2 linked regions of the Arabidopsis thaliana genome follow. The protein of the gene in region 1 interacts with the protein of each later gene in a pairwise test. Each region holds a gene or a part of one and is shown in the gene's direction. Other genes may lie near its edges. The genes, in order: DCAF1 and AT1G20540.

The links.
Region 2: the proteins of DCAF1 (region 1) and AT1G20540 interact in a two-hybrid assay, tested with the Arabidopsis thaliana proteins (one study listed by BioGRID).

The regions. Positions count from the first base shown.
Region 1 is NC_003075.7:15,137,477-15,154,490, forward strand, and holds DCAF1 (DDB1-CUL4 associated factor 1), read left to right. Parts: upstream 1-8,151; 5' UTR 8,152-8,459; coding exon 8,460-8,716; intron 8,717-8,805; coding exon 8,806-8,881; intron 8,882-8,962; coding exon 8,963-9,079; intron 9,080-9,165; coding exon 9,166-9,326; intron 9,327-9,425; coding exon 9,426-10,161; intron 10,162-10,272; coding exon 10,273-10,361; intron 10,362-10,462; coding exon 10,463-10,856; intron 10,857-10,964; coding exon 10,965-11,534; intron 11,535-11,606; coding exon 11,607-11,789; intron 11,790-11,886; coding exon 11,887-12,339; intron 12,340-12,431; coding exon 12,432-12,542; intron 12,543-12,695; coding exon 12,696-14,495; intron 14,496-14,758; coding exon 14,759-15,463; 3' UTR 15,464-15,636; downstream 15,637-17,014. Other genes in the region: AT4G31130 (keratin-associated protein (DUF1218)), read right to left, coding at 88-302, 900-989; AT4G31140 (O-Glycosyl hydrolases family 17 protein), read left to right, coding at 4,105-4,448, 4,602-5,712; AT4G31150 (endonuclease V family protein), read right to left, coding at 6,431-6,442, 6,536-6,616, 6,713-6,841, 7,017-7,133, 7,244-7,308, 7,393-7,432, 7,543-7,605, 7,709-7,970 and 1 more; AT4G31170 (Protein kinase superfamily protein), read right to left, coding at 16,023-16,362, 16,472-17,014. UniProt on the Arabidopsis thaliana protein: Component of the CUL4-RBX1-DDB1-DCAF1 E3 ubiquitin-protein ligase complex, DCAF1 may function as the substrate recognition module within this complex.
Region 2 is NC_003070.9:7,106,560-7,121,143, forward strand, and holds AT1G20540 (Transducin/WD40 repeat-like superfamily protein), read left to right. Parts: upstream 1-6,051; 5' UTR 6,052-6,092; coding exon 6,093-6,137; intron 6,138-6,212; coding exon 6,213-6,296; intron 6,297-6,395; coding exon 6,396-6,528; intron 6,529-6,635; coding exon 6,636-6,747; intron 6,748-6,879; coding exon 6,880-6,979; intron 6,980-7,085; coding exon 7,086-7,213; intron 7,214-7,392; coding exon 7,393-7,462; intron 7,463-7,665; coding exon 7,666-7,754; intron 7,755-7,856; coding exon 7,857-7,902; intron 7,903-8,112; coding exon 8,113-8,186; intron 8,187-8,275; coding exon 8,276-8,349; intron 8,350-8,430; coding exon 8,431-8,489; intron 8,490-8,590; coding exon 8,591-8,632; 3' UTR 8,633-8,803; downstream 8,804-14,584. Other genes in the region: AT1G20520 (DUF241 domain protein, putative (DUF241)), read right to left, coding at 363-1,058; AT1G20530 (girdin (DUF630 and DUF632)), read right to left, coding at 1,811-2,450, 2,529-2,752, 2,838-3,818; AT1G20550 (O-fucosyltransferase family protein), read right to left, coding at 8,926-9,349, 9,450-9,781, 9,855-10,139, 10,258-10,441, 10,525-10,613, 10,707-10,783, 10,902-10,992, 11,079-11,141 and 1 more; AAE1 (acyl activating enzyme 1), read right to left, coding at 13,368-14,584.

The DNA.
Region 1 (17,014 bases):
CTATTTTTAGGCTTTATAATACCGGAATCCAAGAATATTTGTAATGGTCTAGCTACTGTGTTCTTGAAAAGAAGAGGAAATGCTTACAAGGCAATGTTGAAGAACACAGAGAAGCTGGTGCTTTTGAACAAGACAGAGTTAGGAACAGACTTTCCCTTGTAAGAGATGAACAAGGATTTGTATCCTGCTACAGTGCAGGCAAGGAGAAAAGCAGCAGAAAGGTATCCCAAGGCAACAGTTGGATCAGATGGGTATTTGCAGATAACTACTCCTTTTCCACTTATTGGAGTCCCAGACGCAGGCTAAGATGAAAACACAAAGAACAGAAACAAATCACACAATCAGTAACACATAAGAATAAGAAAGCCGAAGTGGTTTACCCACTTATGAAAAGCTCTTGACATACGGTATCCTAGAGAGATCAGTGACAATGATGAGGTCAAACAATTGTGTAGAAAGAGTAAGATTTAGCTACGGGTCAGTTAAGATCACATTGGTTTCCCATCATTAGATACAATTATGAAGCTGTGAGAAGATCACATTTTTTCATACAATCCAACAATATCACAATATCAGAGTCATAGTCCTGTGACTAAAACAAATTTGACATCCTCCATTCACAGAGAATAGCACAAATAACAACCAAAGCATCCTAAAGAAACAGGAAATCAAAACAATTGATTCATCCATAGTTAGATCACTGTTTGATACATACAATTCCAGAGTGATTATTTCCTGTGCAAAAAAAAAACTAACTTGCGCCAAAAAGCAACAGGAATTGTTTATGTGGTAGTAGTAGATAAACACAAAGAAGAAGAACAAAAATCATCATCGAAAACAAACAGGAAATTTAAAGTTTTCTCACGAAATAATCAAAAGGAGACGACTTTTTTTTGTACCTTCTTGTTCTCGGCGATAACTCCCAAAACAAAGGATAAGACGCCCAAAGCAGAGACGACCAACGACATTTGTTTCATACTAACCGCCATATTTGTTGTATCTTCTTCTCCGTCTAACCTTAACCTATATAATATATCCGAGAGCACACAGATATCAAATTCGATTTCCCCCAAAACATAAATCAGATTTGAAAATCGAATCAACGAACAGAGTCGGAAAAATCGAACTGTAAAAGAAAAACACTCACCGAGACGACGAATGAATCTGGAGATTTGTGGCTTCAGAGAGATAAGAGAAATCGGAAGATATGGTTAGTTAGGTTGCTTAGTTTTGATTTTGGTTTAATTCGATCCACTTGCACTGATAATTCGGGGATGAGCCCTAAAAAGTCTCCGAGTGTTGTTGTTGTTTTGGGCTCTTCAAGATTCTGTTGACCAAAAAATAAAAGATTCCATATTTATCTTCTTCCACATGTATTCATCATCTTATTTTTCTTTATAAAAAAATCTACGTAATAGAGATTTTCAACTGATTTACTTCCTCATATTATTTTTTATTCTGAATATAGATATTACTATAATTTACAAAATAAAAATATATCTTGATCGTATAATTATTTGGTATAAAATATTATCTTCCCACGTAGGTATATAATTTACCAAAAATAAGTTTAAGATGGATTTACCAAGAATCCAATATTATTACTTGCGATACTTTATATGGGAAGTAGAATAATTGGATATGATATTGGAATTTCTTTTTGGAAAGTACATATTGAAAATGTTCATTATCGTATGAAGCAGAACTTAAAGACTGGCTGGGATAGTTAGTACTTTTGAGAAATGGGATTATCGAATCTTTGAAGATAATCTGATGTTGTATGTTCCAAAGAGTCTGTCGAGTTTTGTATGCGGAAGCTTTCACTGTTGTAACACTTTGCAACACTTGTTCTTTATAAAATGGTAACACTTATGGGGATATTTAAAAAAACAAAGATAGCAACATGTTTAGCTTTTATAAAAATGTATTATTTGAACGATACCAGGGAATCAGGATGCTAGATGCATTATCCGGTCGGTGAACGATCGTGACACCCAAGCAACAAATATACAAGACCAAAATTGGCCACGCTCTCTCCTCTACCCCTCCAGCTTTACTTGTCCTTATCACTTCCCTTTATCATCTGAATTAATTTCATCTCATTGATGCTTCTCTATGTATAATGATCCAACACAAATAAATCAATCAAATCAAACCAACCGATCACTTTCTCTTTTTCACTCATAATCATTCCAAGCATGATTTTAAAATGGGCTTTTGTTGTCTCTCATAAAAGGTGATAGCTATTCGCCTCTTCCACTTTCTTCTTAGATTGTTGTAGTATAAGTTTAAACCTACGACTACGAGTGGATAAAATGGTTTTGGTTTGACTTATTAGGTTTAATCGAGTACGACAAGTGGACTTGTGACACTTGTCCAACCGATACTTCTTATCTTGTGTTTTTGTGTTTTCTCGTCTTCTAGATCACGTTTTGGCATATTGAATTTATTATATAAGAATAAGATTCGATTGTTGAATTTTTAATAAGTATGGCTTTGTTATATTACACGTAAGAATTGAAAACATTACTTGATCAAAGAAATAAAAGATTTTATGTGTGGTGACTGATAATGTTGTTGAGGAAGATCAGAGTCATTAATGCAGACTCAGTGACCAGTGGACAATCTTGTATAAAGAAAGACATTACAGAGTTATATTCAAAAACGTGGAAAAGTATGCATTACCTTCTTGAGATGGAAATCTTAACAAAAACAAGCTTTTAAAATTGAGTGCATGTCCAAGTCATTTTTAGATTTGGTGTTTAGTGCTTCAATATTTCACAATATCCAAAAAACTCATAAAAAGATTTCAGAGATAGACCAAGAAAAGTTATTTGAGTCTCTAAGAAGGGATTGACCATTATTCTTAATTATACTATTTGATGTTTCAACTCACTTCCAATATGAAAGTCTTAAACATAATCATATTATAGATATTAACCTGTGAATAAAATGCCAATCATCCAACTCTCAAAAATATAAATGGGCCGAGAATGGGCTCACACAGTAAGGGAGAGTAACGAGAGAGGCTTGAAGGAGAATAAATGTTACTTCACCAACCGGACCTGCCGACCTCTTTCATTCTCTGTTTGACTCACTATTCCTTCACACAAAAAAGGGAACATTTAAGTTTTTTTACATTTTCATTCAACTTTAATTCTGAGAGCATCAGGTAACACTGCTCCACAATCTTTCAAAGATTCCTCCTTTTTTTGTTGTTCTCTCTTTTTATTTGGCTTACACGTCCGCTTGACCTCACCCACATGCCCCTGCCTCACATCAAACCATCTTTATTTCGTAATAGCTAAATCTTAGACAGGCAAAATCTATCAAATTTTAGAAAGTACTATTCAAAATTAATACTCTCTCATGTTACTACCATACTTGCTGATTATAATAACTGTAAACTATAACAAAGATGGTAAACCCAAATCTATATTTATGATTGATTAATTATTTTAAAGTATATATTGATGATTTTTTCTTTATAAATTATCATGATTGCCGTATCGTATAATTAATAGATTTGAGTGGTATTGTGAAGAGCTACTACAGCTAAGGAAGTAGACAACACCTAACGTAGTAAATTAAAACATTAACGTTTCTCTTTTAGTCCCTTTTTTTTTGTTAATCGTTTTCATAATATTCTGCTAATTAAATTTCGATTGGGGGTACCAATCAAAAAGCAAACACCGCCTTTCAGGTCACTGGGACAGACAATAAAAAAACCTTTTTCGTTTATGTTCCATGTCTGAAATTAAAACATTTTCAAGTCTCGTGTATTTCAGATTCTCCATCTTAGTTCTTGTAACCTCTCCCTCTTCTTCTCCAAATTCCACCTGAGAGAAGAGAACTTATTCCACCCAAAAAGCAATAATATATAGTACCGTACTTTGATTTTTTCGATAATCTGTTGATTGAAGTTAAGCCAAAACTCAGCTCTGTTCTTATTCTTCTTCAAACCCAAGTTTCCCACTTCACTGATTCTTTCATCTTAGCTCGTTTTAACCACAAAGTTCAGTTCTTTTTTGGTGTGTTTCTTTTTCGTTATTGGCTTTTGCCTTTTTTGGGTATAGGGTGTTTACGATTTATCTCTCGGTTCCGATGTTGTTCAAAGGTGTTTTTGCTGTCTTTTTCGTAATCACTTTGTTGTACGCAAGTTTGTTAATTGAAGTTGAAGGGATTGGTGTGAACTGGGGCTCACAGGCGAGGCATCCCCTACCTCCGGCTACGGTGGTGAGGCTTCTCCGAGAAAACGGTATCCAAAAGGTGAAACTTTTCGAGGCCGACTCTGCGATTCTCAAAGCTTTAAGTCGGACAGGGATTCAAGTTATGGTCGGAATCCCTAACGACTTGCTTGCTCCTTTAGCCGGTAGCGTTGCAGCCGCTGAGAGATGGGTCTCTCAGAATGTATCTGCTCATGTCTCCTCTAATGGCGTCGATATCAGGTTTGTGCTTATATCTCATTGAAACAACATGTTCTCTTTGTTTGTTTTGATCAAGAGCTTTGGAAGAAATGATTTTAGAACCCAAAGTTCCAGTCTTTAGATTTTGATCTAAAGCAAAGAGATTGAAGTTAGTTGGTTTGTGTTTGAATTTAGGTATGTGGCAGTTGGGAATGAGCCTTTTCTAAAAGCATTCAATGGAACATTTGAGGGTATAACTCTACCTGCTCTTCAGAATATACAATCAGCTATCATCAAAGCTGGTTTAGCGACTCAGGTGAAAGTCACAGTGCCTCTTAACGCAGATGTGTACCAAAGTGCGTCTAATCTCCCTTCGGATGGAGATTTCAGGCCTGAAATCCGTGATCTCATGTTGAACATTGTTAAGTTTCTGAGTGATAACGGAGCACCATTCACTATCAACATTTACCCTTTCATCAGTCTCTACAACGACCCGAATTTCCCTGTGGAGTTTGCTTTCTTTGATGGAACTGGTACTCCGATAAACGACAATGGAAGAATCTACGACAATGTTCTTGATGCAAACTACGATACACTTGTGTGGTCGTTGCAGAAGAATGGGTTTGGGAATTTGACTATTATTGTTGGGGAAGTTGGGTGGCCAACAGATGGAGATAAGAACGCAAACTTGATGTATGCCAGGCGGTATAATCAAGGTTTTATGAACCGTCAAAAGGCTAATAAAGGAACACCTATGAGACCTGGGGCAATGGATGCTTACTTGTTTGGTCTTATCGATGAAGATGCCAAAAGCATTCAGCCTGGAAACTTTGAAAGACACTGGGGGATATTTTATATTGATGGACAGCCTAAGTATCAGCTCAGTCTTGGCAGTGGTAACGGGCTGATCCCTGCAAAGGATGTTCATTATTTGGCTAAGAAATGGTGTATTCTTGCGCCAAATGCTAATCTTCAGGATCCTCAGTTGGGACCAAGCGTGAGCTACGCTTGTGATCATGCTGATTGCACCAGTCTTGGTTATGGCTCCTCTTGTGGTAACCTGAATCTAGCACAGAATGTTTCGTATGCGTTCAATAGCTATTACCAGGTAAGTAATCAGCTCGACAGTGCGTGTAAGTTCCCGGGTCTCTCTATAGTCAGTACTAGGGATCCTTCTGTTGGGAGTTGCAAATTCAAGATAATGATCAAGTCAGAAGATGCTAGTGAAGCAAGTGCCATGATGCCTATAACACGATCAACGGCAGTGCTGCTACTTCTCTCCATCTGTCTGTATATTGTTCTGTGAATACTGAAGAAAATTTGATGGGTTTGATTATTTCTTTTTTTCCTTTTTTCTTTTGCAAAACTTTTGGTGTTTATGGAGAAACAGAAACTACAGTGAGATTTATGTATTACTTGGTTTGATCTCTTATTTCTCGAGAGCAGTTTGGTGTTCACTGTCTCTCTTATACCTCTCTTGTTAGTAATCAGAAAATGATAAAAATCTCATCTTTCACTTTAGCTGTTAAAGCCCAACCCGAAGTTTCAAACATTACACCTTATATTAGTTAAGCAGGTTTGCTGCAAAAGAGGAATCCATGAGGCTTCACTGCTGTGAATCTGTCCACCATTAACAGTCTCTTAAGATTGAGAAACGATTGTGCTGTCTTAGAGCATGAGAAACGAGTTACAGCTGAACCAAAAGAAATACCAAACCCAAAGCTATAGAATTGTTTGTCGAGAACCCCAAAATCTCCCAATATACAGTGCCCAAACAACCAAATTACCAGTTGCCTAGCCTTTCTATTTACACTTGTTTAAGGTATGTATGGAAAGGAAATTCCAATGTATCGGATATAACATGATTACCTTGGTTAGCTTGCAATCTTCAAGTCAGTGAGATAAATGAAGGAGATAATTGGGGCGGATCTTCAGTGCCTGAATCTGTCCATTTAACAATCTTTGGTAAAGACTTTGGAGAGTTTCTATGTAATGTGGAATAGTGTTCTTGGTTGCTTGAGGGATTAAGGTTCAGTCTGGTAGACAAAAAAGGAAGCAAAGAGACATGTGAGCCAGTACGAAAAAATATGACAATGGTTAGAAATGGCGGAGAAAACATCAGAAGTTACCTGATCCGGTGGTCGCACTGCCAGTTCTTTAAAAGACTCAGTTTGATGCTTCTGGAGATATGCTCTTGATCTAATATCTGCCTGCATATAGTAAACTGTATACTTAACGACTCTTACTTTTCACTTTTCACATATCTACAGGATAACTTTCTGTTTGTTGGTAAATGCATCACTTACCTGTCTAATAGGTTCTGGAACACGGTACTTGCAGGTTATCTTGACAACTTCAACGGCAGAGTCCAGTGATATGCGATGGCCAACCGATACATATATGGGCTTTAGAGAACTCAGAGTTGGCCTAAATCCCTGTTGAACGTAATATGTAAAACTTGATCATTAAATTCACTATCTTACACAAGATTATCAAAACCACAACTATGGAGAAGTTTCGTTGCTAAAACTGATAAGTCACTACTAATATAACGCGGTATTACCAAAGAGACACAACAACTACAGTAGATGTTCAGTCAAAGTCACTTACTACTCCCCATGTAATTCCAGAGTTTCCTACCAAAGTGATAGTTTGCTCATGCTCGTTTATTTGGAGCTGAAGCGACTGTTTAACCTCAGATTGATTCAGACCATCCACATGATGCAGCTGAAAATGTTACAACATCATAAATTCCACATTAACGATCAGATGGAAAATGCAAGGCAAAACAAAAATAACATCACAAATTTCAGAGCTTGAGATTCTGAAGACCGTACATTCTTTCCGACCCCAATGGTTGGTAGGTGAGCAAGAACACCTAAATGACACGCCAAGCCAAATCCTATAGAAGACAATTACATCTAACACCATAATTACAGAGCTTGAAATGCAACTACAAAACAAAGGTAAAGTTGTGTGTTTATACCTCGTGGATGAAGTATTCCATTTCCATCCACCATCAGTACCTTTGCAAGAGCAAAGCAAGAGACTTTTAGAAGAAAAAAAATCAACGCAAAAGCAATGGTTTAAGAGTAGCCAATTGCAAACTAAAGCAACTTATAGATAAAACTGAAACCTGAGGATAGAATGGATGCTTCTCATCTCTCATCTTCTGCAGAATCTGCAAAAGAACCGGAGCCTGTAACATGAAAAATCCAATTTTGGGATCTGAGATACTTTAGTGAAGCAAATGAATTTAGCAGAGCATTGCTCGGGGACACGAAGTAGTAGGAGAAGGAAACCTCACGAAAGGCAAGAAATCCAGGGACATAAGGAACATGGAGGCGGAGAAGAGAGAAGTCATGGTGGACTACACGGAGAGAAGGAAGCTCAAGAACGACGAGACAAGCGCATGCGACGGAAGAATCTTCTTTGCAAAAGCTCATGTCTACACCTCCAACATACTTAAGTATCTCCGATCCCTGAGACAGTTCCGTTGATGAAGATAACTTCCATGTGAAGTCATCGTACGCGATCAGTTTCTTCTTCAGCTCATCCTGCTCTCTGAAAGAAGTCAAACAAATCATCAACCGATTTGATTGTGCGGAATGAAACTGAAATCAAATGTGAAACTACTCTGTCCACTTCTCGAGCTGATCTCCAGAAGAAGAAGACTCGCTTGAAGCTCCTTCACTATCCATTTCCAGAAAAAGTTCAGTCGCCGGAGAGGAAGTTCCTAATCGGAACAATTGAAAACGACGTCGTAGTTATTGACAGTAAAACTATGGGCCTTTAAAAGGCCCATTATTAAAAAAAACTATGGGTTAGGGTTTGTTTAGTGAAAGAAACGGGTCGGGTCATATTTTAGTATGAGTCGGTTCAGCTTTGTCGTCTCCATCTACCACCCTCCTTGTTCTGCTGCGTTTCTTACTCTACAACTATAAGCTCTTTTTTCGTTTTCCCTTTCAATAATTTCTTTTTCTTTTTCCGTGATCCCAACGTTTGAATTGATCGCCGTTTCTGGGTTTTTCTTTTAAAAGAGAGGTATTCATCATGGACGGGCAAGAGCATGCCGAGGTCCCTAATTCGATGGTTGAGGATGACCAATCAGTTGTTGCGGCGGAGGCGATTGCAGAGTTGGCGAATTCAACCGGCGAACCTAATCCTGAAGAAGGAGAAGAACAGAGTGTTGAAGACGAGCTTATAGCGAAGGCGCAGAAGCTTATGGAAGATATTACTTCCGTTGCCAATAACCCTAATCCTAATATCCTTCACGCTCTTAGTCAGCTTCTCGAATCTCAGGAGTCTCTGTATGTTCCTTTCTAGCTCAACAATCAGTCTCTCTTCTTGATTTTCTTTTGTAGTTGTCTTTAGTTTTGACGCTTACTTGTATTCGCAGGTTCTTAGAGGAGAATGGGCATTTCTCCAATGCTCGTGGTAGTCATAACAGTGGCAAGCTGTGTATTCTCATCCGAGTAAGTTTATTTAAAAAAAGATTGTTCTTTTTTCTCTTGTGTGGGTTCTTTCTTCTTATTTTGTTACTTGATTTTTGGCAGGAAAACGATGAGTTTTTTGAATTGATATCGTCGACTTTTCTATCTGAGAATTCTTACTCAACCGCAGTAAAGGCAGCCTCTGCAAGGTTGCTAATGAACTGTTCGCTTACGTGGATGGTAAATTTTTTACTACTTTCTTTCTCTTTACCCTTAATTGGATGTCTTGTTTGTTGACTCATGACGCAATTTTTCTTTTTTTTCAGTATCCTCATGTTTTCGACGATGCTGTAACGGAAAACTTTAAAAATTGGGTTATGGAAGAGGCAGTCAAGTTTCCTGGTGAAGACTCTGCCAAGAAGGAAGCCTCAGATTTTGAAATGTTAAAAACTTATTCTACAGGACTTCTTGCTCTCTCTCTGGCGAGGTATTGATTAAACATTCTCAACTTGTTGTCTCTTCTTCCCATTTTTGCAACGCCCACAGCTGAAATTGTAACATTTTCTTTTTGTGTGACTCATGTAAGTCGTGGGCAAATAGTTGAAGACGTTTTGACATCAGGACTATCTGCTAAGCTTATGCATTATCTTCGAGTACGAGTTCTTAAAGAGCCAAGCACAAGCCGTATACACACAACTGAGACTAAGCACGTCTCCTTAAAAACCAAAGAAGAAGGTCGAAGTAGGGTGCGTAAGATTGTGGATACAGTTGAAGGTGACCATGTTCTTGAGACGGACTCCGGAAGAGAGATGGGACAAACTGATGTACAGCCTGATGGCGAATTCGAAATCGATGGCAGAGATGTATTTAATGTTTCAGGTGTTGTTGATTGTAAAATTAAACCTGGAGATGACAATAGTGTTAGAGATGACCCTTCAAGACACAGACTGAACCGATCAAAATCAAGGGGGAGAGGAAGGGTTCACGAAGGTGCACCTGATACAGAAGTTCTCTTGGCATCTCCTAGATTAGGTCGTCTACTTGTCAGAGATAGGGATCTATCAAAAATTTCAGATGGCAGAAATGCAGAAGACGTGACCGTATGTCTTGGGAAAATGAAGTCTGGTATTATGGAGATAGAAAGAGAGGATAACGATGAGTGCTTTCAAGGTTGCATAATAGGAACTAAAAACATAACTGATCTAGTAAAGAGAGCCGTTGGAGCTGCTGAAACCGAAGCTAGAGCTGCCCATGCTCCTGATGACGCAGCTAAAGCAGCTGGCGATGCTGCTGCAGAGCTTGTTAAAACTGCTGCTTTGGAGGTATGTTTTTCTTTTTTTGCTTAGCTGTTAGTGATTTCATTTCCCTAATGAAACGGTGGATTAGGGTGACCTGATATTTATATTGATTGTCTTTTCTTTTAAATTATCCAGGAATTCAAGTCTTCTGGCAGTGAAGAAGCTGCTGTGTCTGCTGCTACTCGAGCAGCTATTACAGTCATAGATGCCGCAGAGGTTTCAAGGTTGGTCATGCTATGATGTCGTGGATATTATCGTTGCTGTTTATCAATTATTTATCTCTGAGTTGTTTAGGGCTTTAACTCTGCTATTTGGTTGGTGGCAGAAATCCTACTTGTGTCACATCTGATCAGACAACGGATGTTAGTGAAGTTTCCCTTCCAGATATCGAATCATTGGCTCAGTTACAAGAAAAATATTGCATCCAGTGCCTTGAGATACTGGGAGAATATGTTGAGGTTCTCGGGCCTGTACTCCATGAAAAAGGTGTTGATGTATGCATTGTGCTGCTGGAACGTACATCCCAGTTAGATGATCGTTCGACAGTGTCTCCTTTGTTACCTGATGTCATGAAGTTAATTTGCGCTTTGGCTGCGCACCGGAAGTTTGCAGCAATGTTTGTTGAACGGCGTGGCATACTAAAATTACTTGCTGTTCCAAGGGTCTCTGAGACTTTTTATGGTCTCTCATCTTGCTTATACACCATTGGCTCTCTTCAGGTAATAATACAGCAAATTTGCATGACTTTAACACAATTTTGGTTCACCGTCAATCGTTGACTTAGTACAAATCCTGCTTCTTCTTACCTTCAATTTTTTTTTTCTCAGGGTATAATGGAGCGTGTCTGTGCACTTCCATTGGTTGTCATACATCAAGTTGTTAAATTAGCTATCGAACTTCTCGACTGTTCCCAGGATCAAGCCAGAAAAAATTCAGCTTTATTCTTTGCTGCTGCTTTTGTCTTCAGAGCCATTTTAGATGCATTTGATGCTCAGGATAGTTTGCAGAAACTCCTTGCAATTCTTAAAGATGCAGCCTCAGTTAGAACTGGTGCTAATACTGACCGATCAGCTCCTGAAGTCATGACGTCCTCAGAGAAGCAGATGGCTTTTCACACCTGTTTTGCTTTACGCCAGTATTTTAGAGCTCATCTCCTTTTGCTTGTTGATTCAATCCGTCCTAGCAGAATTAGCCGGGGTGGTGTGCCATCTTCAATGAAGCCTAATATAAGGGCAGCCTATAAGCCCCTTGACATCAGCAATGAAGCTGTTGATGCCATCTTCCTTCAGTTACAGAAGGATAGGAGGTTGGGTCCGACCTTTGTGAAAGCTCAGTGGCCTGCTGTCAATAATTTTTTGGCCTCCTCTGGACATGTTACCATGTTGGAACTTTGTCAGGTAATGTAGCATTTTACTCCACATGTACATTGTTTTGTCTACCATCTTTTAACATTATGTTCACATGCGCAGACTCCACCAGTAGATCGTTATCTGCATGATCTTCTTCAGTATGCTTTTGGGGTTCTTCACATAGTTACATCAATACCTGATGGCCGCAAAGCAATTGCACATGCCACACTCAGCAACAATCGTGCTGGCATTGCTGTCATTCTGGATGCAGCAAATATTTCCAACAGCATAGTAGACCCTGAGGTCAGTAGTCCGCTTCTATCCATTATTCACATGGGTTTTGTCTTTCTTCTTCTGCTTCTCATTGATACTTACCTCCTTCATGTTTTCTTTATTGAAGATCATCCAGCCTGCACTAAATGTCCTAATCAATCTGGTGTGCCCACCACCATCATTAAGCAATAAGCCGCCCCTTGCACAAAATCATCAACCTGTTCCTGGCCAAGCCACTACCCGTCCCTCTACTGATGTTGCTGTAGGTACTCAGTCCACTGGTAATGCTCCGCAAACTCCTGTTGCACCAGCATCTTCAGGTTTGGTTGGGGATCGGAGAATTTTCTTAGGAGCAGGAACTGGTTCTGCTGGCCTTGCTGCTAAGTTGGAGCAGGTTTATCGTCAAGCCCGTGAAGCTGTTCGTGGGAATGATGGTATAAAAATTCTTTTAAAACTTCTTCAGCCCAGAATATATGTAAATCCTCCTGCTACCCCAGATTGTCTACGAGCGCTAGCTTGCAGGGTACTTCTTGGTCTGGCTAGAGATGATACAATTGCACAAATACTGACTAAACTTGAGGTAGAATAGCAATTTTCTTTCCCCGTTTATATATTGTGAAGTTGAGCAGGCATCGTTGGTGATATATATTGACTTCCCAAGCATTATTCTAGGTTGGTAAGAGTTTATCAGAACTAATTCGGGATTCAGGTGGTCAGTCAAGTGGCACAGATCAGGGGAGATGGCAGGCTGAACTTGCTCAGGTGGCGCTTGAGCTAATAGGGGTAATCATCTGAAATTGATTTAATTTTCTTGTTTAATGTGTTTATATGGGGTTCTTTTTGTATGCTTCATTAGTGATAAGTGTTTTTTTCATTCTTTGTTTTTCTGTTGAAGTTTTGCGGATATTTTTAATTGTGTTTTATATGTGTTTGTAGATTGTGACAAATTCAGGGCATGCAACTACACTAACAGCCAGTGATGCTGCTACTCCAACACTGAGGCGCATTGAAAGAGCTGCCATTGCAGCAGCAACGCCTATAACTTATGATTCTAAGGAGCTTTTACTGCTTATCCATGAGCATCTCCAGGCATCAGGTCTTGGTGATACAGCTTCAGCACTGTTAAAAGAGGCTCAATTAACTCCTCTACCTTCATCGGCTTCCCCTTCTTCTATTGCATATTCCACTACACAGGAGATGTCTACGCCGCTAGCTCAGGAACAATGGCCCTCTGGCCGTGCTAACAGTGGATTTTTCACCAGCAAACCCAAGGTCTGTGCACATGACGAAGATCCAAATTCTAGATCTAATGCAGCTCTATCTGCCAAGAAGAAGCATTTGGCTTCCTCGACACTGGAGATGCCCACACCAGTAGCACAGCAACAATGGCCATCAGGCCGTGCTAACTGTGGTTTTTGTCCCAGCATACCCAAAATCAATGCACGTGATGAAGATCCTAGTTCGAGAGGTAACGCAGCTCCATCTGCAAAGAAGAAACAGTTGACTTTCTCACCCAGTTTTAGTTCGCAGTCAAGAAAACAATCTTTCTCCCATGACGCTCTACCTCAGTCTACACAGAGAATAAATTGTTGTTCGAATTCAGATCCTGCTTTGGCAGATACATCAGAAACTGCTGCAGAATTAGTTTTGAAGAACGACCTTGATGCCGATGCTCAATTTAAGACCCCGATTTCCTTTCCAAGAAAACGGAAGTTGTCTGAGCTTAGAGACTCGTCAGTTCCGGGTAAAAGAATCGATTTGGGTGAGCGAAGGAATTCAACCTTTGCGGATGGCTCAGGTTTGCAAACACCAGCTTCAGCTTTAGATGCCAACCAATCTGGGAGTTCCAGACTGGGCCAAATGACACCTGCTTCTCAGCTACGGCTTCCAAGTGATCCCCAGCCTTCAAATCCAGAACGGTTATCACTAGACTCCCTTGTGGTTCAGTATCTAAAGCACCAACACAGGCAGTGTCTGGCTCCAATCACAACTCTTCCCCCTGTGTCTCTCCTACATCCACATGTCTGTCCTGAACCTAAACGGTTACTTGAAGCTCCACTAAACATGACTGGCCGTCTTGGGACCCGTGAGCTTCAAAGTTTCTACAGTGGAGTCCATGGGAATCGCAGGGATCGTCAGTTTGTTTTCAGCAGATTCAAATCTTGGAGATCTTTCCGGGATGAGACTGCTCTCTTTACATGCATTGCACTTCTTGGCGGTACTAATCATATAGCAGTCGGTAGTCATGCTGGAGAAATCAAGATATTTGAAGCTAGCAGCGGTAGCATGCTTGAGAGTGTCTCAGGTCACCAGGCTCCGGTTACACTTGTTCAGCCGTATGTCTCTCGTGATACTCAGTTGTTACTTTCTTCGAGCTCCAGTGATGTACAGTTGTGGGACGCGTCTTCTATAACTGGTGGGCCTAGACACTCCTTTGATGGATGCAAGGCTGCAAAATTCAGCAACTCTGGGCTACAATTTGCAGCGCTTTCTTGTGAAGCATCTAGAAAAGATGTTCTTCTATATGACGTACAGACCTGCAGCCCTTGCCAAAAACTCACTGACACAGTCACATCCTCTCGAAGTAATCCCTATTCTCTTGTGCACTTCAGCCCTTGCGATACACTGATTTTGTGGAATGGTGTTCTCTGGGACCGCCGTATCCCCGAGAAGGTCAGACGGTTTGATCAATTTACTGATTATGGCGGAGGTGGGTTTCATCCTTCTAGGAACGAGGTAATGGATAAATCATATTACTTTTTAATCTAAATTATGTGATAATACCAAAGCTATGAAATTGTCATTCCTATTCTAGTTGACCAAACCCTAGAACAATCCACTCCCTTAAACAGTCGAAGACAGCTTTATAAAAGTCCCTCACTAACTGCTCCAGAACCATTTCACAACAACTTCAGATATTCTACATTAACTCCTCGGCTACAATATAGATAAAAAGTTACTCACTGTTTCTTGGCTTTTCAACATGTTACTTATTACAGGTGATCATAAACTCAGAGATCTGGGACATGAGGACTTTCAAACTTCTTCGGAGTGTACCATCACTGGACCAGACAGCTATTACGTTCAACTCTAGGGGAGATGTTATATACGCAATGCTGAGGAGAAACATCGAGGACGTTATGTCAGCGGTTCACACACGCCGTGTGAAACATCCCTTGTTTGCTGCTTTCCGCACTCTTGATGCGATCAACTACTCAGACATTGCCACTATACCTGTAGACCGGTGTCTTCTTGACTTTGCCACAGAACCAACAGATTCGTTCCTTGGGCTGATCACAATGGAAGACCAAGAAGATATGTTTTCCTCGGCCAGGATGTATGAGATTGGTAGAAGGAGACCAACAGATGATGACTCGGATCCCGATGATGATGATGAGACGGAAGATGAAGATGAAGATGATGAAGAAGAAGATGACCTGGACCGAATTCTGGGACTAGCTGGAGACAATAGCGATAGTGGGGATGATGACCTTAGCAGCGAGGACAATGAAGATAGTGTGAGCGATTTTGATGAAGAAGCAGATATTCTCATTGACGGTGACTTTATGGAGGAGCTTATAGAAGGTGAAAATGAAGACGATGGTAATGGTGAGGATGAGGATGATGATGACGACGGTGAGATGCAGGATTTCATGAGCAGTGGGGAAGAGGATGATTATAGAGACAACATTCGTTCTTCCTAAGTTTTTTTTTGTTTTATAAATTTTATTTACTTCTGGGCTCTCTACAGATCACTAAGATGGATTTTTACTATCCAAAATTTTGATGATAAGTTCTTGTATTATTTTTTCTTTGTTCAAGTTCCATGTCTCTTTGATTATCAGTAATCATGATTTCTCTTGTCCCACATCATAAGAGAATCCATTGATGCACAGAATTTAGAAGAGACCATGGTGATGAAGATAATGAACGTAGAGTTCTGAAAGGAGAAAAGTATGCATCATCAAATTCAAGGAAAACTAAACCAAACACTTGAGACAATCACCGTACATCTAATTTTTTCGTTGTTCTTTCTTAATACAAAAATCTAGAAAATCAGTAGTCTAAAATGGTTGGGTTACTTCTCCTATCTTGAGAAAAGAGATACAATCGGATATATATATATAGATAGATAGATACACACACAAACTTACATATATCTAAAGCCCTTCTTGCTTTCTCTCTCTCTCTCTCTGTTTTTTTCTTTTATGTTCTCTTCTTTGTTCATTCCTCTTCTTCTCCTCTCTCTTTCTTCACAACAGATTAGTCGACTGTCATTGGTTGCGTCATGCAACATCTGAAACGGGCTTTTCTCACATTCGTCATTATCTCAGTTTCCGCCGCCTCCAGAAGATTGACAATCTCTGCAAAACAAGGACGGACTTCAGGGTCCGCATCCCAGCAACGTGTCATGATCTCTCCAAGCACAGGAAGACAATCTGCTGGGACTGTTGGACGGACTCCTCTGTTCACCACTGCAAATGCAGCCTGAACCGCCGTCATGTTCTGGAACGGTAACAGACCTGTAATCAACTCCCACAGCACGATTCCAAAACTATACACGTCCACTTTTTGAGTGTAGGGTCTGTGCTGGATCATCTCTCTGCATCGATCAAAATAAGGGAATATAGTGTCTAAATATGACTTGCAGAGATATATAAGGTTATTAAGGACAAGACAAGGATGGAAAACGAGATATTTATTCAACTTACGGTGCCATCCATCTGTAAGTTCCAGTCTCTGGTGTCATCCCTTCGGTTTGAACTTCAATTCTTGCAACACCAAAATCAGCAATCTTGATGGACCGATCAGCTGATATGAGGAGGTTATCTGACTTTAGATCCCGGTGTATAAAGTTGCGCTCATGGACGTAAGCCATACCCCTGGCAACATCCAACGCCTGCATAACAGCTAACTTCAAAGGCACAGCTCGGTTTTGTCTCTTAGTCAGAAACTGTCTGACAGACCCTCCTTTTGCATATTCAGTCACGATGCACCACACCATCGGTTTAATGCACGCACCAATAAACCTAACGATGTTAGGATGCTTCAAAAATGCAAGCATAGAAACTTCCTGCTGAAACTGCTGTTCGAGGGCTTGTGCCTTTTCAGGGTTGCTATCTGACCTCTCGAGTAGCTTAATGGCTACATCTTCTCCGTTGTAAGTCCCTCTGTATAACTTTCCAAAAGCCCCTTGAGCAAAAGCAGGACCCATATGTAGTTTCCTCAGATCTATTGTCCACTCTTCATAGTTC
Region 2 (14,584 bases), on another chromosome or scaffold:
CTGTTCGTTTTTTTTTGTTCCTCTGTTTCGTAATTTGAAGGTTTGGTTTCTGTTTCTTCCTCCTTCTTGGCTAAATTGTGTTATTGCCCTTCTCTTAGAGATTATCACTAGGTAATGTCTGTATTTCCACTGGTGTGTCTTTTTGTTTTATAACATTCACTTTTTGAGCAATAATAAACAATGGATGAGAAACTGTGAGGAGATTCTGACCAAAATTTTCTGTCGAAATAAAGAGACTGTGAGGAAATTACTTTTAATACGTGTATTTGACTTTGTAGGACGATAATATTTCTGTATTTGCTTATAATTCTAATTTTTACAGGTATATATCTGTTTGATGTCTTCCAGAAGTGGTATCCGTATCAAACCGGAGATGTTTTAGCTGTAAGAATATTAAGAAGTGAAACTCTGGTCTGAATCAGTCGCCGGAAAATACACTCCAACTCGATCTCAAGCTCCTCAACAGTGATCTCTGCAGCCTCCAACCTTGTACTTGCGCTCCGCATCGCTACTTCGTCCCACGCATCATCAAAGCAGCAAAACTGCATCGTAAAGATAGAAGAAAATGACCCTATGCTCGGTTTTCTCTCGAGCCAAGGAACACATACGAGTGAGAACAGAGACTCAACCATAGTCACAACGGCTCTTCTCACTTCTTTCAAAACCTCAGCAACAAACAGAAGGTTCTGCTCTATGCTCTGCATCTCCATCATCCCTCTCCCTCCTCCTTCAATACTCTTTAGACTATTTAAACACTTGAGCGTTTCCTTCTTGAGCTTGTTCCTATACCGATTATACGCTGCAACCTTTTCACTAAGGTTTGATCCATTACAGCGCAGAGTCAGTTGAAGATCTTGCAGGCCATGTCTCACGAGTGCCATGACATCTTTCGACACATTACAGACATCTAACATTATTAGTGAAGCTTCAGAGACTTGCTCGATCCAGTTCTCTTTCCCTTGTTGGCACAGAGACTCTCTTGCTTCTGGACAGTGATCGAGAAGATAGTTTGCGCAGTCTTGTAGTTCTCTCAAACCTTCCAAGTCCAGTAGCGCCATTCGGTTGAAACCTCAAAAGGGTATTGCTTGATGAGAACTTGATGAGAGATTTGTGATTAGGGTTTAGTGAAATCTTAGGGTTACGTCCATAAATAGGGATTGTTTGAATTGGAGTTGAAGATGGATCTGAGAAGAATGAGGAAAGTACGAAGAAGGAACCCTGAGGTTAGTTTTTTCCTTTTCTTTGCGAGGTGTTTTTTTTTTGTACATAAGTGAAGACATTAGTGTTGGAGACAGGTCATTTAGTTTTCAAATTCAAACTAGTTGAAGTTAGTGGTATTTAGGAACCTTCCGTTTATGTAAGTGGCACTAGATTAGGCTACATTATGGATTTGCTTCGATATTATTGTCTACATAACAAAACAAAATACAATTTTAATTTAAATTATAATCGGATACCTTTATCAGAAACCATGCATGAACCAAGCCAGCCAGTGTTTGTAATTATCTGAATAAAACGGAAGAATTATTTATTTATATCTGAAATGTTCCAGAATTTTGTTTTTGTATTGTTGGTTTAATAGTTTGTCGAATTCATCACCTTTTAAACACTAAACACAGAGTCATGTTCATGATTGGAATGTACTATCTTATTATTAAAGATCACTAACGGCGTATACATATAGATTATAGATATATGTCGAATGTACATAATCAAAATTTTCAATTTAGCAAAATTCAAAACTCTTCCAAGGACACATAGAATAAATGATAGATAGCAGAACTGATGAGAACTAAAACAAAGCCGTACATTACGTGCACATCAAGTCAAGTTCCTCATAAGTCTGCTTTGAGTTTGTAGCTAATTTCTCCATCGATTTGAATATCTGTTCCATGTTAGACTTCAGATTTAAACTCCCCATTAATGCAACAGATGGTACTGTCTTCATCTTCCTCTGCATCTTCTGCTCTTCCTTCTCTAACATCATAAGCTTCCTTTCTATATCCTTTACGCTGCCATTAACATTCCTCTGCTCTTCCAATTCCATCCTCTGTTTCTCCACCTGATGGTTTACGTGCATCAAAATCGTGTAAACCGCTTCTGTAAACTCCTTCTCTCCGTGTGATATCTCAAGGTTTTGTGACCAAGTGTTAATAGCACCAAACAATGGTGGCTCTTCTGAGAGATCTGGTGTTGGTTCTTGAGGTTCCTGTTTTAAACATCGCATTAGCCAATTGTTCAAGGCTTTAACATACTGAGCCTGAGCATCTATCCAGTTCGACATGCTTAGACTCCAGTTCCTCAACTCCAGTTTCAATTCCATAGCAAGCTCAAGCTGAGATAAGTCTAGATTCTCCTTTATTGTCATCTTATCAAGCTTCTTAGCCTCTGCAATTACTTTAGATTGTCTACTGTGACATTCTAGCATAGAGTTCCACATCTCAGACAACCTAAATATTGAGACACAACAAGCTGAGTTAACTCATGAGATTTCTCAAACAAAATTCTTATGGTAATGTCCGTAGTACCTGTGGATCAACTCTTTCATTTGGAACCAGAGCTCTTCATCGCGTAACTTGTTTATCGTCAGACAAATGTTGTTTATCTTATGGATAGAAACTCTCATTCTTGTAGACAAACACTGAATCGAAGAACGAATAGCTTCGATTTTGCTTAGATCTGCACTTTTTGCTTCCAATCTCCTCAATAGTTTGTAGTTCTTCATGTGAGATGTTCGGAGTTTCTCCTCAGCCTGTAAATAACAAATCAAAAGTCTTAAGGAACATAAAACACTTAGATAATTTTGCTTCAATCCATTCAGAGCATTTTGATTATACCTTTACTTCTTGGTACAGTTTCTTCTCCCACATGAAAAGTTTCTTCAGAGTAGATGAAAGATTATTGAAATTAGATTCTTCCACTGGTTTGGGATCAAATGGAGTCATCACCTTCTTCGTGTAGAGAATGTTTGAAGAAGGAAGAAGAATTCGAACATTACATTGATAAACAGAGCTTTTCTGGTAGTATCTGAATCTGGAAGTGTCAAACATCTTCGAAACATCATTCCCTGATTCTGAAGCTTTCTTGAACATTTCCTGCAATTGCTTTGTTACTTCAGATAAATCTGATGAAACTTTTTGATCCTTTGATTCTTTAGGAGCACGCTTCCTATTTTTCTCTGAGATTCTCAGAGTTTTTTTCTCTTCTTCTACTTTAATCTTCTCATCGTTTTGGCTCACAGTAATCTTCTTCTTCTTCAACTTATCTTCTTCATGAGAAGGAGTGGTCTCTCTATCCTTCAAATCATTGACATCCGTAGTGTACGGAAGCTCATAGCTCTCGAAGAAATTGATAAAATCCCAAGCGTAATTACTCGGAGCCGGCGGTGGAGGAGGCGGCGTTATGGTGCCGGATTCGTATCTCCGGGAGTAGAACGAGTCATGATTAAGATTTAGAGATTCAGGTTTTGAACCGCTTAAGAGATCGCAATTCGTACCTTCACCTTCCTCACAATCCGAATCGAACTTGGGAGGCAAATCGGAATCAGAACTGGTAACCGAGTGAGCCGAGGAACAGGATTCCGGAGAATACGTCTCCGGTGATTCGTCAGCTTCGGATTCAACATCCGGCGGAGACTCGACGGCATGTTGGAAGAATCTATGGAGAGCTGGACCGACGGTGTTCAGAGAAAGGAGATAAGCTGAGTGAGCGTCGGCTAAGGCGTAGCTTCGCCGGAGCGTATCTTCGAGTGAGCTGCAGCGGTCACGGCATAGAGATACGGCCGGTAAACCGTCGAGCTTGGAGGGGGAGCAACCCATAACGGTCGTTGGAGAGTTAGTGTTTTTTCAAAAGCTTGGATTTGTTGTCATATAAAAGTGATTACGTGATTAAGGTTAAGGTATCATTAAAAACTTAAAAATGATCACTTAATTTCACATTTTACCAAATTTAAAACAGTAAAAGCGCAATTACATTTCAAAAGGAAAAATTCATAGAGTACTGACAACTTCCACATATGAATAAATGATTATGATTCGAATAAGAGAGCCGTTTCTTTTTTTTTTTTAGGAAGGGACATGCAACCAAACTTCAATTTGGAAACTAGCTAGTAATCATAGTACTATAAACGTTGCAATTATCTATTTTTTTCTATTCACGATTAACATTGCATTTTTTTTTTTTTTGAAACGTTTGCATTGATTTATCGTCGTTAGAAATCATAAAAATGAAGTTTGCAAGGAACCATGCAATTATTCTACTCTGTGAATCATTGAAGCATAGAAAGTGGAAAAAGACGTGGTGTTAAAAAGTTAAAGCTAAAAAGTGAAAAGTTAAAATAAAAAAGGTTTGAGATTCAAAGTAACGTAAAGTGTTAAAAACAAATTTATAACGAAATCATGCTCTAAAAGTACATGCACATGTTGTAGGTACCAAACTCATATTTTAATCCCCTTTTTTCAGAACTCAAAACTCACGATTAGCTTCAAACACAAGTAAAATGAAGTTTTGTCAATAACTCGAGATATAAATCCATACATTACCACACTGATCATATCTCATATCTTCCTACTTCTCACTATGTTATAGAATGAATATGTTGTTTTCTCTTTAATTTGTACTATTCTAGCAAATAATATCCAGAGATAGAAAACATATTAGTTTTATAGTTTACTCCCATGCCTATATATTATACCAACAAAGCCATCTCCACCCATACAGAAAATATCAGTTTCTACTTTCAACATTATATTGCAATTTTAATGAAGATATACACAAAATATAATTTTTAATCAGTAGTATGTTCTAGTTGTAGCAAGTTACTGATCACCATGAATACATTTTCCACAAAACCCTACTAAAAACATGATTTTGTTTCATATAACTACCATGAAATTCTTGTCTACAATTACCATGATAATTATCAATATAAATACATTTTCAGATAGAGATGTGCATGAACGAGCGTCTTCACACGTCTTAACTTAAAAATCCTCAACTTTAAGAGTGAGAGTTGGAACTTTTTGGGTTTGCGGCTTTTGAGAAGATAAGACGAAAAAAGCGAAAACTTCCATATATAAAGAATACACGAGGATCTTTAATTAGTTCCTAATAGAAGAAAAATTTATCAATGTTTTTGGGTGAAACAAAAAAGAAAGGAATGTTTCTTTTTTGGGGATGGTGGAGATCCACCTTCTCATATTTTGTCTTCTTATCACTACTTTTGTAACCTTTCTTATCATAGGATATTCCCACGCGTATTAAAATCAGTTCAACTAAACATTATTTCCTTCAAGAATATACCCATATTAACAAAACCACGATAAGTTTAGAGTCTTACATGAACGCGAACAGACACATTGAAGTTTCGACAAAATCAATAGAAAAAGTCACTTATCGTTCAACCTTTCTAAGAGAAATGGTTAATAATCTCGTAGTTAGGAGTTTTCTTATATTTATACTCTGTTTTACATTACATTGTTAACCAACTTATTGTAGATTATATAAGAGTTTAACTAATAGTCGTTGTTTTCTGGCTGTGCGCGGTTGTGGAGATTTTTAATATGCTATTGTCAGTTTTTTTCATATTTCTTTACGTTGGTTGACAAACATTTCCTAGTCGTCAATTCTAATGTTACTTGCATTGCATGGCTTCGCAAAAATACTCAAAAAACACATCATTGTTAAGTAACGGTCATAAAATCATGAAAGCATCACGTACTATCTGTGGCTTTACTAAGACGTCGTTAACAAACGTAATGATAACATTCTTTTTTCTGGTGATTGATTCATGATTTTATGCCTTTTTTTTGGGTGATCAAACAACGTTGTAACTATGACCGGGCCTAATAGACATCTATGGGACTCTAATTCCATTGACCCGTTTTGTAACATATATACTAGAGTGAGTAGTGATAATTTATAGAAATTTGATATGTATATGTCTCTGAGTAGTTAGTGAAATTGTAACATAAGAGATTGGGCCTGACTTTATTAAGTTAGGCCCATTAATGTCTATCACTAACACGAAAACCAGCATCTGCTTCAGCTCGTCGTCTTCTCTACCTGAATCAGTGCGTCTGGCTCAGGTGACAATGCAAGGAGGATCATCGGGTATTGGATACGGTTTGAAGTATCAGGTGATTCATCATCTTCATATTTTCCTTAATTTTCCTTAGGAAGATTCTTTAAAGACGGAATTCATTTTGTTTCAGTCTAGATGTATATCGGATGTGAAAGCCGATACGGATTACACAAGCTTTCTCACTGGAACTCTTAGTTTAAAAGAAGAAAATGAGGTGAACCCATGTCTTGATTTTGATTTCGTCTTCTATTTTAGTCGGGAAGATACTGAAAGTTTTCGTTTTTTGTTCTCCACCATTTGAGATGCTTTTAAGGTTCATCTTCTTCGTTTGTCATCTGGTGGATCTGAGCTTATATGTGAGGGTTTGTTCTCTCATCCTAATGAGATTTGGGACCTTGCTTCTTGCCCTTTTGATCAACGCATTTTCTCCACCGTCTTCTCCACTGGTAAATTCGCTTGTCTTGAGTTGATTAGCAAGAATTTGGAGCTCTGGTCTTTGTATTGATTTATAGCGTGAGTGTGTCAAAAACTGATAATGGTTTTATCCGTTAAGGTGAATCGTTTGGAGCAGCGATATGGCAAATTCCTGAGTTATATGGTCAACTGAATTCTCCACAATTGGAGCGTGTTGCTTCTCTTGATGCTCATGTTGGTAAGATTAATTGGTGAGTTTATGATCAAACGTTTTCAGCGTTCTATTGCTAACAGTTATGTAAAAGTGTTTAAGAGCTTATTTTTTTCTTATCCTCAATCATCTTATGAAGCTGACTCTCAATTTTTCTCTCTGGTGGAAACAGTGTTCTTTGGTGGCCTTCTGGAAGATGTGACAAGTTAATCAGCATTGATGAACAAAATATTTTCTTGTGGAGCTTAGACTGTTCGAAAAAGTCTGCTGAGGTGATTTAGCTACTAGAATATAGTGACAACCTCATTTTTTTTTTATCTCTCAAGTATTTAGATCTTTTGTAGGGTATTTCGGTTAAACAGGTTTGGATTTATATAGGTTCTATCTAAGGATTCAGCTGGGATGTTGCATTCTTTATCTGGTGGAGCATGGGATCCACATGATGTAAATGCTGTTGCAGCAACGGGTGAATCATCTGTTCAGTTCTGGGACTTGCGTACTATGAAGTATGGTATCACTGTTGCTATCCTCTGTTGCTGCATGCAGTTAGGAGGTTTTACGCATTGATTTTATTCACACACGTTATAACATGCTCTGATGGGGGTTTTCAATTTTCAAATTAGTGTTAGTTGCTTGTGGTTTTACCTCGTCACATGACTTTCTCCATGTTTTTTCCCCAACAAAGGAAGGTTAACTCAATTGAACATGCTCATGTACGCGGTGTTGATTACAATCCCAAGAGAGAACATATACTTGTAAGACTCCTCTCTTGTAACTCCAAAGCACTGCGCAGTACCCTATTGAATAGAATGGTGTGCAGATAAATATGCTGTGCATATCCGTTCAGGTCGTTTTCTACATCAGCATTGAGCTGAACTGAATTGTTATGGAGCTCAACCTTTGATTTAAAAATATTATCATAACTTTGCTGTGATGGATCAAACATTCGATTATGTAGGTAACTGCAGAGGATGAATCTGGCATACATGTCTGGGATCTCCGGAAGGCCAAGGTTCCTGTCCAAGAGCTTCCTGGTCATACACATTGGTATGTTTGCTTCTGTTTCCCTTTGTAAACCTTTTTTTAAAGGAACCAAGAACTTGATCCTTGAATTTGTGCCTTTGTATGTTTTTTTGTCAAATTTTACAGGACTTGGGCTGTCAGGTGTAACCCTGAGTATGATGGACTGATTCTGGTACTCTACTCTCTTTCTCCTTTGTTCTTCTGAACACAATCAAAACGTTCCACTTGGTAGCTATGTATGTCAGTCGCAGTTGTTTTAGCTGAAATGTGCAGTTTTATTTTCGGTACATCCTATGGTTTAGCTTAGAAAAACTAAAGCCTCTGCTTTTAATTTGCACGCTTATAATTTGTGTCAATTCTGAATCATTCAAGTAAAATACAGAGCGCTGGAACAGATTCGGTTGTCAACCTGTGGTATGCTTCAGCAACATCCAGTGATGACAAAACCTCAGAAAGGTTATTTCAAATCTCCTAAACATCCTTGCACCGATGATTTTCATTTTTTGCCAACACTGTTGTGATTTCATTGTTACCATCTTTTTCAGTCCTGTGGAATCCACACGACAGCGTGTGAACCCGTTGCTCAACTCATACACTGACTATGAAGACAGTGTCTATGGTAAAATCCCTTACACCTTATGATTACCATTCTATCTTGTGAACCGAACAAATACTTAATACTGTTTAATTAACAACACAGGCCTTGCTTGGAGTTCACGTGAGCCTTGGGTTTTTGCATCATTATCATATGACGGAAGAGTAAGTAAACTTTCTCTACCCCATATACTCAGCACAAGATCAACCTAAACTTCATTTAAAGAGCTTCGGGGTCATTAATCTTGCTTGTATATAAATGTTAGGTCATCATCGAATCCGTCAAGCCTTTCCTTCCAAGAATATAGTAAAAACCCAGCATCTCTTTTGCTCTGACCCAGACACGACCCATCTTTTGGTAAAGTTGGCACTATTGTATTTGAAACAATGTACTTTTGACACAATCTTTGTGGATCCTGATGTATCTATCTATCATTCACCAAGATTCTATCGGTATCAATATTCAGTTGCTTTGACCTAAACAGACTCAACGACTAAGTAAGAAAATAAACTGAAAATTCCTTCGGATTGGATTTCTATGTACAGATAACATTGATGAGGTATATGACCACAATAAAAAAAAAGCTGACTTTGAACTGAATCAATCTGATAGCATTTCTTCTAGCTCAGGCTCTTCTGAAACCGATAACGCATCATCATAATCTAACCTCGTACCATTATACAAGCCTCTGTCCTGTAAATCAGTTTGGTCTTCCTCATAATCTGTCTCTGACGACGACAACTCTGCATCTTCATCTTCTTTCTGCTCTTTCTTCCCGAATTTTCTCGAATCCATCTTTCCCGCTTTTACTTTAGCATCAGTATCTTCGCATATACAAGCCGCTGGATTCTCATGAAACTCACCTTTTCCGGCTCTTACCTCCTTTGGTTCTCCCATGAATCCTTTCTGAAATGTTCTCACTCTTGAAGCAAACTCCTCCCAAGTAGTATTCTCTTTGCTCATAAACAACTTGTATAGCTTTTTCGCATTCGGTCTAATTGTTGGTTTATGTCCAAAGTATCTCCTACATAAAACCAAGAAATCATTCAACACAAAGAGCTAACAACCTTAAAAACAGAAATGAAGCAGAAAGAAGAAAGATTAGCTATGGTTAATTTAACTACCTTCGACCTGCTAATATTCTCGCCATGTTTCCGTTATTGTTGGTAACGAAAACATCGCTTTCGTCACACACAAGGAAATCGAGTGCAGCCATTCGTGAAGAATAAGAAGAAAATGGTTTTAACTCCATTTTTGTAGCTATGGTGTCTTTTGAATAGAAATGTGGAAAAAGTGCTTTCAAAGGAGCCAATGATTTTTCTCCTCCATAAACTTCACCTGATGCAACATATATATGAACATCACTTCCATATCCCAAAGCTCTAAGCATTAATCCAACTTCTTCTGGTGTAAGTGGACATCTTCCTTGTCTCCTTTGCTTTTCAGGGTTATTTACCTGCAATGCAAAATTCGTTAAATCCAACAAGAAAATAAGAAGAACTTTGCACAAGTAAGATTTGTATACATACATGCAAAGTTTTCCATCTCCTTCTGATTGTTCCTAACTCTTTCTTCTCCTTCTCACCACCACCATAGTAACATCCAGAGAAGGCGAGCATATCAGGTTCAAACCTAAGATGTAAAGCAATGAAGTGTTTGCTCCTTTTCCGCATTCTTCTGACCAATTCGTTACCCATTTCAAGAATTGGATCAGTAAACTTAAGCGCATGATAGTTTACTCTACACCTCAGCTTCTGCAAATCATCTCTCAACTTGTTTGAGAGTCTGTAATCAAATTTATTCAATTGAACTGCCTGAAACAAAGAGTTACAAGACCAAATCATATATAAGCATCATAGAGAAAGAGGAAATAATGAAACCTTTAGATGCTAAGAAGCGTAAAGATTGAGAGACAAAAACAGGAAAACTTACATGCCTTTTCTGAAGAACAGGTAACACCCGATTGATATAGCATTTCTCATTGCATTTTCTCGGTACACGCATTCTGCGAGGGCTCCATGTTTGCCCTCCTTTCTGTGGAAGTTTCTCAATGATTTTGACATCTTTTGAGAGAAATGACATAAACCAATCAACATCGAAAATGTTCGAGAAGTCACTGGCATATATAAAAAGCACAAAAGTATGTTAATACTAAATAAGATGCATAATGTTTTGATTTTTACGAGAGCTAGTACGAACCTGGCATCTTTCCAGTAGGATTTCTGGTCCAACTTCGGAATAACAAGCGTAGCGTTTAGAATCCTTGCAGCAACAACAGCATCTACAATCTGAAAGAAGTAATTGCGTTGTGAAACTCAGACCAAGATCTAAGTAACAACAAAAAGATCACCATAAAACCAGAGAAACCTAAAGGAACTTACACCAGTCCGTTGTTGGTTTAAACCGCCACTAGTGGCAATCGCCAAGTATCGATCATTTCTAGTAATTGCTTTAGCATCTGCAGTAAGAAAAATCAAAATGTTGTAGTGTGACTAATAAACCTCAATGACAGAAACATTCAAGCATTCTAAACTAAAACACTCTAAACACCAAAAGAACTTTATAAAGTTACACACTTGGGAACTTGCTGCTTGCATTACAACAACCATAAAAGAATTCAGCATTCCATGAACGCCAGATATCACGATCCGATCTTCCTCCACCTCTCTGCTTCGGTTTAAAACATACACAAACCCAAATTAGCAAACAAATACAGACTTTGCAACAAAAATATCAAATATAAGAACCCTAACCGGAACTGTGAAAACCACTGGTGTGTTCTTCTTCTCATCATTGGCTCCATAGTTAATATGCTTCTGCAATCAAACAAAAACAATGGCGTTAAGAGACAGAGATCAGAATCTCATCAACAAGGCTATTGAGAGAGAGAAAGAGAGTGTACGGAGATGCGGCGATCGGAATCATCAGGAGGAGGGGAAAGAATGGAGAGAAGAGCGAAGAGGATGAGAAGAGCTCCAGAGACAGCGCAAATGAAAGGAAGAAGACGACGGAGACGGTTGTAGTAATTGTTGCGCCGCCGTTGAAAAGCCATTGAAGGCTATACACGCGGCGCTTTTACCTTCGTCTCTACGCCAGACAGAGAGAGAGAGATTCGTGTTCCAATGGAGACAAAACCAAAAGTCTTTCTCTTTAAGAGTACACACTGGTTTCAAGAGATTCAAAATGAAAGTATTGTCTGTTCTGTTTTTTATTTGTGATTCTTCTCTGGTTTTCACGACATTTCCATCACCACAATAATCATTGTTGATTCTCTATCTTTTGCTTCAATCAAAGATTGAATTTTTATATACTTGAGATACAGAAACAGAGAAAGATTGAATTTTTTAATATTGTAAAAGGAAAGTGAATATTGTTTTTTGGTTTTGAGACAGTTCTTATAGATTTCTGGGCTCTGAAAGAAATGAGGCACCGCCTCCAGCACTTCGTTGTTCTAACAGCTTTATTTTATTTTTAATTATTACTCCTTAATTAATCAAATTAATTGTTTTTACTTTGGTGATAAACTATGAGCTGGATTTTAAGAGTTTTGCAAGATGAAAGTTATTCTATTTCTTGCTCTATTTCGTTTTAATTGTTAAATTTCCTGTTTTTTTTGCTTAATTTTATTCTTATCTAGACATTATTAAGAGATAAGTTTAGCATTTTGTGAACACTAACTAAATTTTGACAGTAGAGCAAGTTGCAAGCTATGTGTTTATTCTGAAATGAAATCACTTTAGAACCATTACTGTCTAAATTTCCATAATGGTGTAAATATTACTCTTTGGCTTTACATTTGTATCATCCCTATTTTTTTCATCTTTATATTAGTAAAAAGAAGAATATTTTCAAATTACTTTTTGTCTACTTCAGTGTTTAACTTTTTGCTAAAGAGTGTAAGTGAACAATAGCGTGAACTGAGAAAGAAAGTATAACTCTTTTGTCTGTCTTTTATACAAGTTTCTGTTTGCTTGGTGTTGTCACAATCGATGAACATAAATGTTGTGAGCCGGTTTGAGGAATTTTGGATTCGTATTCCTCCTAACCAAAATCAGAAAATAATCAACGGTTTGAGGTCATCTACCTATAGTTTAAACGAGTCATGGTCCGGTTTAGTCATTAAGCACTCGTATTGATTGAGAAAAAAAGATAATTCACACGCAAATTTGATTAGTAGATTTTTAAGTTTATCTTTACGCTTTCACGGAACTATTACAAATGATTATCTCTTGTTACTTACAAGTTTCACCATGTGAACCTTAGTTGTTTCAAGTGTCATTCATCAACCATATACTGTAGATTGAAGGCTTATTATAGTAAGTGCACTCATTTCGTTGCAATGTTAACATCTACTTTTCTTAAATACTATACAACGTAATTTGTTAGACTGTTAGGTACAACAAATTTATTTAGTGATTATTTATAAGTTCTGTAATTACAAATTTATAAATATGAAATACTTTTCGATTCATTATAAACATCAATTAATGTTGCATTCAAAATTGAAAATATCAATTAACCATTGATAATGATCATGTAGAAAAATCAAACTAAAGAGCAAATTAAATTATGATTATGAAGGGTTATAAAAAACATACAGATTGAAATTTAACCAACCTTTAACCGACCCCTAATGAATCGTTTTATATGTTGTACCATGTCATGTCATGTATGTGTTGAACAATACACGACTTTCTAACAACAATAGTAATACTTATTTAGTTTTCTTAAAATAATCGAAATCTAATAAACAAATTGCAGTAAATAACAGCAAAAATATAGATAATTAAGAGACACAATCCAAAGATTGATTCCCTTAAGATAATAATATATCCACTTGCCATCAGATTCAACTCTAATCAGAATGCTATAGATCTAATCTTCCGGAATTACAATTTCATCCCGGTTTTATTTATTTCAGAAACATACAAATTGGTTTTAGTATCTCATTCTGGTTTAGCTTAGACACAAACATGATCTTATAGACAGTAATTTATAAGACATCTTGTAGAGATTGGAAGTAACAAAGAAAGCTTACCAATTCATAACTTGCTTCTGCCTTTCTTTGATAAGCTTACCAAAGCCTTAGCCTTGGTCCTCAGAACAAACTTCTGGACTTTTCCAGTCGATGTTTTAGGAAGATCCTCAAACACAATACTCCTCGGAGCCATATAATGTGGAAGCCGGTCCCTGCAATAGCTAATAAGCTCCTCCGCACTGGCCTTAGACCCGTCTTTAAGTTTCACAAATGCACAAGCAGTCTCACCCCAATACTCATCAGGCCTCGCAACTACAGCTGCTTCAAGAACACAAGGGTGAGTGAACAGAGTAGACTCGACTTCAATCGAGCTAATGTTTTCTCCTCCAGAGATTATAATGTCTTTCGATCTGTCTTTCAGCTCTATGTATCCGTCAGGGTGTTTAACACCTAAGTCGCCACTCCAAAACCAACCTCCTTTAAAAGCTTCCTTGGTTGCTTCAGGGTTCTTTAAGTAACCATTCATCACCGTGTTTCCTCTGAAGACAACTTCACCCATAGTCACACCATCAGCTGGCAAAGTTCTCATGGTTACAGGGTCTTTAACTTGTATTTCCTCGAGCCCTAAATGATTCACGCCTTGTCGAGCTTTCATTTTCGCCTGTTCTTCTCTAGGCAAAGAGTCCCACTCAGGCTTCCATGTACAGATTGTGCCTGGTCCATAAGTTTCAGTTAACCCATAGGAATGAAACATAGAAAACCCCAACTCTTCCATCTTGAAAATCACATGAGCTGGTGGCGGTGCAGCACCGGTTATAAAAGACACCTTCCCGGGAAGCGGTTTCTGCTCAGATTCAGGCGCATTGATGATCATATTCAATATCGTCGGCGCACCTCCCATATGAGTCACCTTATGCTGGGAAATATTATCAAATATAGCCTTGGCCGTAACATTCCTCAAACATATATTAGTCCCACCAATAGCAGTAACACCCCACAATAAGCACCAGCCATTGCAGTGAAACATGGGATTAGTCCATAGATAAGTAGGCGAGGAGTGCATTTCGTTGAGTAAAACCGCAGCCAGAGAATTCAAATAAGCACCTCTGTGACTATAAACAACACCTTTGGGGCTTGAAGTGGTACCTGATGTGTAATTAACAGATATAGCATCACACTCATCTGTTGGTCGTATAACCTCGAAGTCCGATTTCCCCATCGCTACAACATCTTCGTATTCCATCATTTCCTCAGATCTCTTCTTCCTTGAAACAGATTGAG